Ovis aries: one gene and its partners. The protein of the gene in region 1 interacts with the protein of each later gene in a pairwise test. Links are inferred from orthologs where the notes say so. Each region holds a gene or a part of one and is shown on either strand. Other genes may lie near its edges.

Region 1 (4,101 bases):
TATGAGTCTTAATAAAGTTGGAGTTTCCTGTTGAGGGCTCGGAGGGGTTTAGGTGGGTGGTAAGAACGCTTGTTTTCCTGGTTAGCGGATACGCCTCGGGCTTTATAAATTGTGTTGTACTGTGGTAACTGCAGCCACACTGCTGCCATGGGAAAGGACGGCAATTTGGATGAGATAATTCAGTGGCCCATGGAAATCTGACTGGACAGTGGCTTAATGTACTACACTTCCTACCTGTAACATCATACCTATTTCTTCAATTTCCTTCAATTGAAATGAGGAATAAATGTGAAACATAATCAATTTGATGGCTTGAAAAAAGTAATCTTGTTAAGAATACTAAATGAACAATTCAGAATTAGAGGGACTTTTAGAAAAATTGTATGATTATTTGAATGGCGTTTGTATTGTAGCTGAAGAATGTACAGCGGTCCCCCAAACTTTTAATCCAAATTCTGACACCAAAAATTCTAAATCCAGTCTAATGCAGTAGTACAGAGTGTATTCCCATTGATTTCTCACATTCGTGAGACTGTCACACGTTGGTTGGTTTTTTCTGTCACGAAATTCTTTGTATCACTTTTAGAAAACACCACCTCTGTCTATAAAAATGACTGGAAATACCTAAAATTGTAAAACGGCACGTGTCTGGGCAGAAAAGTCCCGTTCCTCACAGGCGAGCCTGCACCTACTTCTGCTCCTAGCAGGTAAACCGTCAGAGGGAGAAGCCAGGTCAGCCCATAGGAAAGCCTGTCGTGGGATTTCTCATTTCCCCTTAGGCTGATCACTTTTAGGAGCAGTTCCCGGGGCCATTCTCTCGTCCAAAGTCCTGGCTACCGGATCACCTGTTGTTTTTTTTTTTAAACCAGTCGGCCACCCTCGAGTCTCCCTGGCAAAAGCCCCTCGCGGGAGGACTTCCTCAGGTCACCTCCCCACTCGGAGCAGTTCTCGGCACCCGCACCCACTCCCAGCGCGGGCGGGGGCGGGGGCGGGGTCCCCAGGCCACGCGAGACCTCGGCCCCCCGCCCGGCGCCCGAGGTGCTGAGGTGCGCGCTGGGGGGAGGGCGCGCGTGCGGGGGGAGGGGCGCGGGGCGGGGCCTGCGCGGGCGGGGGCGGGGCCTGCGCGGGGCGGGGCCTGCGCGGGGCGGGGCGGGGCGCGGGCGAGCGTGTGTGGCGGGGGAAGCCATTGCCTGTTTAATAGTTGCTGCTGCTGCACTTCCGCTTCTCTCCCGGCGAGAGAGAGACACGAGTGGCCAGGCCCAGCCGCAGCCGCAGCAGCAGCCGCCGCGGCGGCACGGAGCAGCCAGACACAAAGAGAGGTACGGGGATCCCCCGCGCCGCCCGCCGGCCCCCGGCCGCGCCGCCGGGCCTCGGGGCCGCCCCTAGCCGCCCGGGCGGCCGCCGGGCGCGGGGCCGGGGCTGGGGGACGGCGGGGGGCCGGGCCCGCCCGCGGGGGGATGGGCGGGGACCCCGGGCCGCGTGGGGCGCGAGGGCCGCCCGCGGCGGGGGCGGGGGGGGGCTGCCGGGGCTCGAACTGTCAGCGCGGCCACGGGGGGCTCCCGGGGCCGCCGAGGCCCGTGGAGGGGGAGGGGAGGGGCGCCCCGTGTCCCCGAGGCGGGGGCCCGCGGGGCTAGCTCCCCAGGGCGGCCGCGCTCATTGTTACCCCTCCGCCGGGGAGGCCCCGTACCCCGACCCCGGCGGCGCCCTTGCCAGTGCTGGGACCCCCGCCCGGCCGCGCCCCCGGGGGCCGGCCCGGGACTGGGGGGGGGGGGCCTGGCCTCGGCGCCCCCGCCCGCCGCCCGGCTCCCCACCACCCACCGGCGCCCGCTCCCCGTCCCCGTCCCCCCTTTCGGCTTCCTCCCTCGCCCCTCCCCGGCCTCCCCGCCCCGCCGAACTCCGTTCCCGGCCCCCGCGACCCCCGGGGGCCGCCGCACACCAATCGAGGCCGGCCGGCCCGGCCCCCGCCCGGAGGGGAGCCTCGAGGGCGGCGGAGGGGCGGCGCGCCGCGCTCCCGGCCGGTCCCCACCGCGGCCCCCACTCGGGGCCAGGAATATAGACAAACAGCCCGCGTCCGACTCGCAGAGGCCGTGATGGGCCTGGAGATTCGGGAAAGCGCGTGGAGGGCGGGGGGGCGGCCGGGGCCCGAGCCCTCCTGACAGCGCCCGAGTTCCGTGTCTACACCGGCCTTTCTGTTTTGTCTCCCTCCTCCTGCAGGGGCTGTTTGCGGGGTGGGGCGGGGGGTTCGCTATGTCGGATGACGATTCGAGGGCCAGCACCAGCTCCTCCTCGTCTTCGTCCTCCAACCAGCAAACTGAGAAAGAAGCAAACACCCCCAAGAAGAAGGAGAGCAAAGTCAGCATGAGCAAAAACTCCAAACTCCTCTCCACCAGCGCCAAGAGGTACCCAAACCCCACCCCCGCCCCCCAAAGCAGGCTTCCTATTGCCCGCACGGCCTCCGGTTGCATTGGGTCCGCTTCCAGTGAGGGTAGCTTACACGCTCCTCAGGGCTTATGTGTTCATAAAAAGGGAAAAAAGGACCTTGAAAGCCCGAATTATTTCTCTCTCTTGCTGCTTCTGTTTTTACTTCTGATCATTGTCTCCATGCAGCTGTTGTGGCTTGCCTTCCCCGTATCTTGCTGCAGTTTGTAAGAATCCGCATGAGTGTTACTAGTGACCTCCAAATCTGATTTCAAATTATTTGTCCTGTTAATCACTAATCTGTGACCCTCCCCAAGACTGTCATCCCACTTAATTATTAATACCTGCCCGGACAGCTCTATCACGACGATTTCTATCTCTGTCTTACTGCCTTCTCACCTGTTGCACATAGGATCTCTCTTTGAATAGTGCTTTCTCCACACATGGCGTAAGGAATAACTAACTCACGTTAGCAGAGTGAAAAATTTAATAGATGGAGATGGATGTTTTCAGATGGGATTTAAAGAGATTTTTCTGATTTAGAGAGTTGAGGCAAATTAATGAGTCAATAAGTGATGTAAATTAGTTATTCTAGGCTGTTTTGGGGATTCTTTGTGTTTTTTTGAGAACCTCCACTTAAATTTCCGGGAAGCTCAAATTTTTTTTCATGCTGTTTTCTTTTATGCTGTAAACAAAACAAAAACACTTTTGTCAACACAAGTTGAATTCAAGCAGTAGCTCTTTTTCTTTTTTCTCTCCCTCTTATGTCTCTGATAGAAGTTACTTTTAATCTCCATCATCCTTCAGTAGTATCCTCTGATCCTCACGAGCCTTAGTCTACAGCAGATTCCTTGGAGCCTCCATTCCTTTTCATAAATCCGGTTGTCCAGTGTACAGTCATTAAACTTTAAAGTGGCAAACCAGGAAGATAATAAGGAATTGAAATGGTAGCTTAGGTAAAGATGTCTGTCTTAAAAGATCGTTAAAAAAATGGAACAGGAGGCTTTAAGTCTCTCCACTGAGTAGTGAGCCAAAACTTTTAGTTAGAAAGTTTGTCCTGTCATTTTCCCTGAAATTTGGAAAGTTGATAAAATGCTTTGGTGACCTAAGCACAGGAGATGAAGAAAAGACTCTGGCTTACTGTAAACAGTGTATATGTGTAGAGTTACGTGGCAAGGTGCCTTGGCAAGATTCTCATTTTCAGCGAGGTTGTTTGATCGCATCTCAGCTTCCCAGGAGTCCTGAGCGGCCCTCCGCTATCAGCCCTGTGCTGGTTCTCCCCAAGCCTGGCATCTCCCCTGCCTGCTTTGGATGGACCCTTCTCTTCATTCCCCCTCCCTTTTTCTGGGCTCTCTGATCCAAGCTGAGGGCAGCTTTTGGCCTGACCTAAGGCAGAATATTTGCGTTAGTTCATTAGCACTTTTATATTTTGCTGGATTACCCTAGTGTCCAGGAATATATTTGGGGATAAAGGCACAGGTGTCAAATATAAAATTGTCTGCTTTATGTAAGCAAATTAGAGACAGTTTTTTTTCTTCATTAGACACAATTTGTCCATTTATGCTACGGGAGTTAAAAACTCATTTGGAAATGCCTGGGAAAGAGATGGTAGGTGTAAAATAAATGAAAGGTGGGACGCTTCCAACAGTAATTTTATCAAATTAACATCAGCTTTAGCTCCCT
Region 2 (3,651 bases), on another chromosome or scaffold:
CACTTACTTGCCTATATTCTCTCCATACCACCTCAGTTAAGAGTCTTACAGTGAATCTGTATAGGATAAGTACCCCATCACCACCACCCAACATCACTTACTTCTTTATGATTGTCTTGACTATTCCTGACCCTTTGCTCTTTTGTCCATATATATGTAAGAAACAACTTGTCAAGCTATCTGAAAAAACTAGTTGAGATTTGATTGAAATAGTATTAACTACATAGATTTGGGTGCAGTGACATCTTTATGATATTGAGTTTTCCCATCCACAAAATCGTATGCCACGTATTTATTTTAGACTTTCTATAATATCTTCGAGGAATGTTTTAAAATCTTGAATATCTTTTTGTAAGATTTATTCTTAATAAATCTTATTCCTGTTGCAGTTTCTGTTGCTATTAATGTTATTATCCTAAAAGTTATATATATATGTATTTTTTTACTGGGATATGAATGCAACTTATTTCATATGTTGAGCTCCTATCAGACAACCTAGCTAAATTCTTATTAATTTTAACATATTATCTGTTATTATTTGCTTTTGATTTTAAATTAATAGCAAATAGAGTTTATTAATATAGTCTTCTTCCTTTGCTAATGAGGTAAATTATATACACAAATTTTCTAATCATATAGTGTTTTTACATCACTATTAATAACATAAATCCAATTTGGTCAAGAGGCTTTATTTTACATATATACTGATGAACTTGGTTTGCTACTATGTTTTCAGATTTTGCATTTATGTTCATAAATGAGAGTGTCTTTTAGTTTTCTTTCTTATACTGTTCTTGTCTGACACGGGTATCAAGTATATACTATACTCATAAAATAAGTGGGAGAACCGTCCATCATTATCTACTTTTTGGAGGAATTTATGATTATTAACACAGTGTTTTGTTGTAGCTGTTTAGTTGCTAAGTCATGTTCGACTCTTCGTGACCCTATGGATTGTAGCTCGCCAGACTCCTCTGTCCATGGGGTTTCCCAGGCAAGAAATACTAGAGCGGGCTGCCATTTCCCTCTGCAGGGGACCTTCCCAGCCTAGGGACAGACCTGGCGTCTCCTGCATCATAGTCAGACTCTCTGCCACTGAGCCATCACGGAAGCCCACCCCATGTTCGGCTACGTGGTCAACTTGCCATCAAACTGTCATGGTAGGCCTGTCTTTAGTGTTTTGTTTCGGCTTTTTAAAAACCAGTTGTTACTTTCGGGGGCTAGTCTTAATAACTACTTAGGATAGTTACTACTTTATTTGGATTTCCTATTTCTTTTTGAGTCATTTTGGACAATATTATATTTCTAAGCAAATTACCTGTTTTAAAATTTTTAGGTGAAAAGTATAAAATTTTTCACAGAATTTTCCAACTATTTTAATTCCTGTTATATCTAAAGTTATGTGTTCCTTTTCATTCTAACACTGTTTATTTTTTCCTTCTAGACACAATCTTGCCAGTGGCTAACCTATTTTATTATTCTTTTCAAAGAATCAACTTTTGACTTTGTTAGTCTCTATTCTAGTGTATAATTTTTTCATTCAATTTTTTCTTCTCTGATCTTTGTTTCCTTTGTGTTTATCCTGCTATCAATTTTCTAATTCAGGTAAAATCTTGGACTATTGATTTCCAGTCTTTCTTTCCACAGTAACACAAATCTTGCAAGGATCACCCTAGAAAAATGCTGAGAAGGTTTTCATTATTATTCAGAATATTTTCTAAGTTCCATTATGATTTCTTCTTTGATCTATAAGTTACTTAAGAGTATTTGTGAAGATCATTTATCTTTTGTCATTGACATCTAACTGCGCTCAGAGAACAAAACAGCTTTCTGTATGGTACCAGCTTTTTGTGGTTTACTAAGATCTGCCTTGTGGCCTAGTACATGACCAATTTCTACAATATTTTGTATGTTCCTGGCAAGAAAATGTATTCTCTAAATTGCTGAGTGTAGATACATCCATTAATACTCATGAGATCAAATCTGTTCACCGTACTGTTCAATTTTTCTAGGTCTTAACTAGTTATGTGTACGCCTGTTTGACTCAATGAGAAGTATATTCAAATTTTCAATTACCATGATGATTTCTCAATTTTTTCTAACCATTCTACAAATATTTTACTTTGAGACTGTGTTCTCTGGTGCAGGAAAGAATGTAGTTTTTATATACTATTATCATCATATAATGATTTGGAGGGATTGATAATGATAATGGAGGGATTCCCTGGTGGCTCAGACAGTAAAGCGTCTGCCCACAATGCGCGAGACCCGGGTTAGATCCCCAGGTCGGAAAGATCCCCTGGAGAAGGAAATGGCAACCCACTCTAGTATTCTTGCGTAGAAAATCCCGTGGATGGAGGAGCCTGGTGGGCTACAGTCCATGGGGTCGCAAAGAGTCAGGACATGACTAAGCAACTTCATTCATGGATCATCATATAACACTAGTAATACTTTTTTCAATAAAGTTAATTTTCTCCAATATTAATTTAGCTTTGTCAGTTTTATTTATTTAACATTTGCCTGGATATAGTCTTCTATCCCTTTAAGTCCATATTGTTCTGTACCCTTATGTTTAAGTGTGCTGCTCATCAACAGCATATTCCAACCTTTTGATTTGTTTTCACCTGGTTAGTTTGACCATTTGGATTTATTATAATTCCTGATATTGGATCTATTTTTGCCTCTTTGTTTTGGTACTATTTACTATTTTCTCCAACGTCCACACCCTGCTTTTAAATAAAATTCCAAGTTATTTCCACTATTGCTTTTAAAGTTATAGTTTTCTGTTCTTTTTGTAGTTTACTTTAAATCATCTTAAATCAAATTTTTCCTTGTTGCCCTAAAACCAAAACACTTTATCAGAAACCAGATGGGCTTTGGAGTCAAACAGACATGGCTGGAATCTCAGTTCTTTCATTTATTCCTAGCCATGTGACCATGCCCCCCAGCTTATTTCCTCAACGGTACAATGAGACTGTTGTAATGCTTACATAAGATAACCTATTCAAGAAGCTACAGACAATACCTGGGTCATAGTAAATGCTTAACAAATGGTAGACTATGAGATGTAAACAGATTTTTATTACCAACAAGGGAAAAAAAGCCTTTTTAATTTTTTTTAAAGAAATGGGGGAAGGGAGTTTCAATCAAGAAGAAACCTTTCATCCGTAACTACAAAATTTGAAACTTTGAGCAAAGTCTTTTAGTCTAATATCAATTTGGCTGACATAAAAGCAAACTCACCCTTTATGATATATGCACAGACAAGGCAGCCGTGCTATAGTATCTCCCTGCTGCAGTTCTTCAAGGCATATTGCACATTCCCCAGCATCTTTACTCAGTACGTCCTCTGAGAAAAAAGAAAATGCATTTAGGACAACAGAACTAAAAGAATTATGTGAATGCTGACTTATACAGAGTGGTGTCTGGCATATTTTTGTCAGAAGCACATAAAATTCAGCACCTATATTTGAAATACTATTTGTAACTCACTAAACAATGTTTACCTTTACTTACAGTGTCTCTCAATTTCATTTAGATTTCACGGAGGCATTACAGTTAATAAAAACACAGTATACAATCTTTCAACTCGCAAACAACTTTGCTATAAAGTTTTATCAGTAAGTCAGTTATTTGTAATTTAGAATTCAT
Region 3 (3,651 bases), on another chromosome or scaffold:
GATCTCTTTAATCACATTTCCTACTAAACCCTTTCCATTTTTTTTAATATCAGCAGCTAGTTTCTTCTTCTTAAGGGAACACTTCACTTTCTTAATTTTAATTTGTCAGAACCAGAAGAGATAATCATCAAAAATTTAAAAGATGAAGCAAGTAAAGTACTTGAGGAAAGAGGAGAGGGTACAGTGGAGCAGTTACTCTGAATTTCACTTTAACTTTTTCTAGCCCATTTTTTTAAACACATGTGTCACTTACCATTTTATATTACCCATTTTGTTTTTTAAAGTATGCACCACCCAGGTTTACATCACAATTATATACAGAAACAACACAGCAAAAATTAAAATAGCACATAATACCTCACTTTAGTTACTCCATGTGATCACCAATACGAATTTAACATTATTGACATTTTAAGTACTCACTAATAATATCAACCAATTTACTTAATTAGCAAAAAAAATTACTGATAATTTTTTCTGCTGATATTTCAATTTCCCAGACACTAAAAACCTAATCTGCTCCTGAGAAACAAGAGGTTCCTCCCATATGGTTTTGCAGCTGAGAAGTCTGTTTATTTCTAGATGAGTGGAGATTACCAGGAGGCTCCAGAAGAGGAGGTAGAGGAGGAAAAAACTGGGAGAATTCCCCAATTTCTCATGAATGAGGCTGACACTACAGTTTCAACACCTTTGAAATGAAATCCTAAACATTAAATCCACTTATATTTAAGTAAAAACACTGAAAAACATTCCAGAATAAAAAATAGTATTCAACTATCCACATCCCTGGTCCCCTCAATTGGTTGCAATCATTTAAAAAATGAGAAAATCCTAAATATTTAATTTTAAAAAATCACAGATCATTAAATTACGCCACTCTTGCAGGGGCAAAAAGAATGACTTATTTGGTATATAAACTTTATCACTAGATTTTTTTTCTCCGGCAGGAACTGCAATTTTAAAAAATTAAGAAGAACTCATCAAATTCCACATACCTGGTCATGGTAGCTGGTACTAGACGTACTATTTGCTCCACAAGGTGGTTGTACTTGTGGAGGTCTTTCCACAGGACAAGTAGGATCACTAAAGGAAGGAGAAACTGGGACAGCTGGGTGGGGAGTATGATGATGGTGGTGATGATGCTGAAAATGGTGGCCATGCTGCTGAAAGCAACTTGTGTGTGGATGTCCTAATGCATGGTGATTCTGCGATGACCCTCCACAGGGCGAGTGCTGGGGACAGCAGGACGGTAACCTAGGCATTGCAGGAGGGCCAGTTTCTGTTACAGCATTAGATGCAGTTCTCCTCGAGTCATCTTGAAATGAAAAAATGCACAGATCAATTAAATGATCAAGTATCACTGTGTAAAAAATACGTGTGTGTGCTTATCTGCTCAGTCATGTCTGACTCTTCACAACTCCATGGACTGTAGTCCACCAGGCTTCTCTGTCCATGGGATTCTCCAGGCAAGAATACTGGATGGAGTAAGGTAGCCATTCCCTTCTCCAGGGGATCTTCCTGACCCATGGACCAATTCGGGTCTCCTACATTGCAGGCAGATTCTTTACCAACTGAGCAACCTTGTGTATAAATGTGTAAAAACAGGTGAATAATAAGTGATTAGTGAATTCAAGTATCTGTAAATAATAATGTGATATAATCACATTCTTAACATGTATATCCTATAATTTTAGGCAGTGGTCTTCACTGGGATTTTCTTCCAAGCTTCAAGAGGCTTGTATTTACCAAGACATTTAAATATGGCAATAAATCACCTTTTCCTAGGTCACGATAAATTTTTAATTTTTAAAAATAAATTATTAGTTTTAAATGCATTTTAAAAACTCCAAAGTATCATGGGAGTCCCTCCATTATATACAACAAATACTCTTAATACTATAAATCATTCCTATATAATGAAGACTACTATGTCACTTCTTAAAATCTTAACTTCTAAAAGATATAACCATCCAACTCAGAGCATATCTGGCTAAGTCTTACTAACTTCTAATTTTTTTCCCTTTCTCTGGTCTCTAACCTCAAACCCAGTAGAACAAAAGAAATGATAAGATTCTACCTGGTTGAAAATTAAAAGTCTCCTGTAATAATTTTGTGAATCAAAGTTGAATAGTGGGATAAAAGCATGAAGTCAGATGGGCTTAAATTCTAATCCTGAGCCTGTCTAATCTGAGTAATGCGACCTTAAGAAAGTTATTTAATCTCTTTCTCACCTATTAAATGTAGCAGTAACTATCCTGCATGGTTGTTCTTAGAAAAGATAAAAATCTTCTAGGTATAAAACATCTGAGTCCTAATTATGCTCTGTTGCATGCCCAGAGTTACTTTGAAGGTACATTCTTCCAGGCCAGAAGAAAAGCAAATGTGTCCCCAGAAGGTTTACCCTAGTGTTTCAAACTCCTCTAAGAAAAAGCACCCTTTCCTCAAACTACGTATGTGCAAATTAAAAAAAGATAAAAATGGAGATACATTTTTTACTTAAAAAATAAACATTAGAGGAATAGAAAACCCAAAGCCTTGTCCTTCCTTTCCCTCACATGAATCATGAGGCATCTCCTCAGAATTCTTAGGATTCTAGAGGAACACCTGTGTTCCAGTCATATTTCTAGAATAACCAATACCAGGGATACCCTACTCCTATTTGGCTCACAATACAAACCTATTCTCTTCTGGGTCAATGTACCAATTAGGAATCTTCTGGTTATTTATAAACAATACAAAAAATCTAACCAAAACTGGCTAAAACAATGAAGGGAATTTACAGACTCACATAAACGAATCTGGGTGGCTCTGACTGATGACACTTTCCTGTAATTCTCCAGGGTCTGCCCTCCTATACATGTCTTATTCTGCAGTTGCTGAGTCTCTTCTGGGCAAACCTAAACTCTTCCTAAACCCTGTTAGGCAGTATCTCTATTCTAAATCTCTGAATATTGTTTTTTTTTCCCCCCTCAAGTTCCTATTCTGGCCTATTTGGGCTAATTTCCTAAGCCCTTTTGTATGGGTTCTTAACCTGAGAACCAGAATTCAGGAGTCTGTAAACTCAAATAGAAAAGAATTACACTAATCTCCAGTAGCCTCCTGGAATTAATACTACCTTGTTATCACAAGTTGAGAGGTTAAATATCACAAGTAATTTGTAAGAAAAACAAAAAAGATAAAAAGAAAACAAGTTGTTTACTTTTAAAACATAAATGATAGCAGATTCAAAGTCAGTTTGATAACTACATCCCTTTCATTCATTTGCATTTCAAATTTCTTGAGTAACCTGGACAGAATCACAACTGGCATACTAGAAACTATGATCAACAGCTATCTTAGTTATGCTGAATCAAAAGTAGCTATTTTCTATAGGCTGTAATATTTATAGCAATATCATTATTATCCGATCTTCACTTCCTACAACATTTCTGGGGTTATATCTCCGTCTCCATGTCAAAATGTTACACAAGTAAATGTCATTTATTATGTGTTACTTCAGAAAAGAAAAGAAAATACCTTTAGGACACTAAATCCATTCAGTGGATGGACTAAATGACCTTCATGGTTCCTTCCAAGTGTGACACATTAATTCTACAAATCAAAAAACTCTAAGACTCAGGAGATGAGTCTGTAACCAGAGCAAGAGACCTA

The links. The genes of interacting proteins can lie anywhere in the genome.
Region 2: the proteins of UBE2E1 (region 1) and ZNRF2 interact in a two-hybrid assay, tested with the Homo sapiens proteins (2 studies listed by BioGRID). The link is inferred for Ovis aries from reciprocal best matches to the Homo sapiens genes UBE2E1 and ZNRF2.
Region 3: the proteins of UBE2E1 (region 1) and RNF111 interact in a two-hybrid assay, tested with the Homo sapiens proteins (2 studies listed by BioGRID and IntAct). The link is inferred for Ovis aries from reciprocal best matches to the Homo sapiens genes UBE2E1 and RNF111.

What each region holds. Positions count from the first base shown.
Region 1 is NC_056079.1:41,469,111-41,473,211, reverse strand, and holds the start of UBE2E1 (ubiquitin-conjugating enzyme E2 E1), read left to right. Parts: upstream 1-1,156; 5' UTR 1,157-1,319; intron 1,320-2,214; 5' UTR 2,215-2,247; coding exon 2,248-2,399; intron 2,400-4,101. UniProt on the Homo sapiens protein: Accepts ubiquitin from the E1 complex and catalyzes its covalent attachment to other proteins. Catalyzes the covalent attachment of ISG15 to other proteins. Mediates the selective degradation of short-lived and abnormal proteins.
Region 2 is NC_056057.1:67,506,578-67,510,228, forward strand, and holds part of ZNRF2 (E3 ubiquitin-protein ligase ZNRF2), read right to left. Parts: intron 3,350-3,651; coding exon 3,244-3,349; intron 1-3,243. UniProt on the Homo sapiens protein: E3 ubiquitin-protein ligase that plays a role in the establishment and maintenance of neuronal transmission and plasticity. Ubiquitinates the Na(+)/K(+) ATPase alpha-1 subunit/ATP1A1 and thereby influences its endocytosis and/or degradation.
Region 3 is NC_056060.1:49,399,778-49,403,428, forward strand, and holds part of RNF111 (E3 ubiquitin-protein ligase Arkadia), read right to left. Parts: intron 1,316-3,651; coding exon 996-1,315; intron 1-995. UniProt on the Homo sapiens protein: E3 ubiquitin-protein ligase. Required for mesoderm patterning during embryonic development. Acts as an enhancer of the transcriptional responses of the SMAD2/SMAD3 effectors, which are activated downstream of BMP.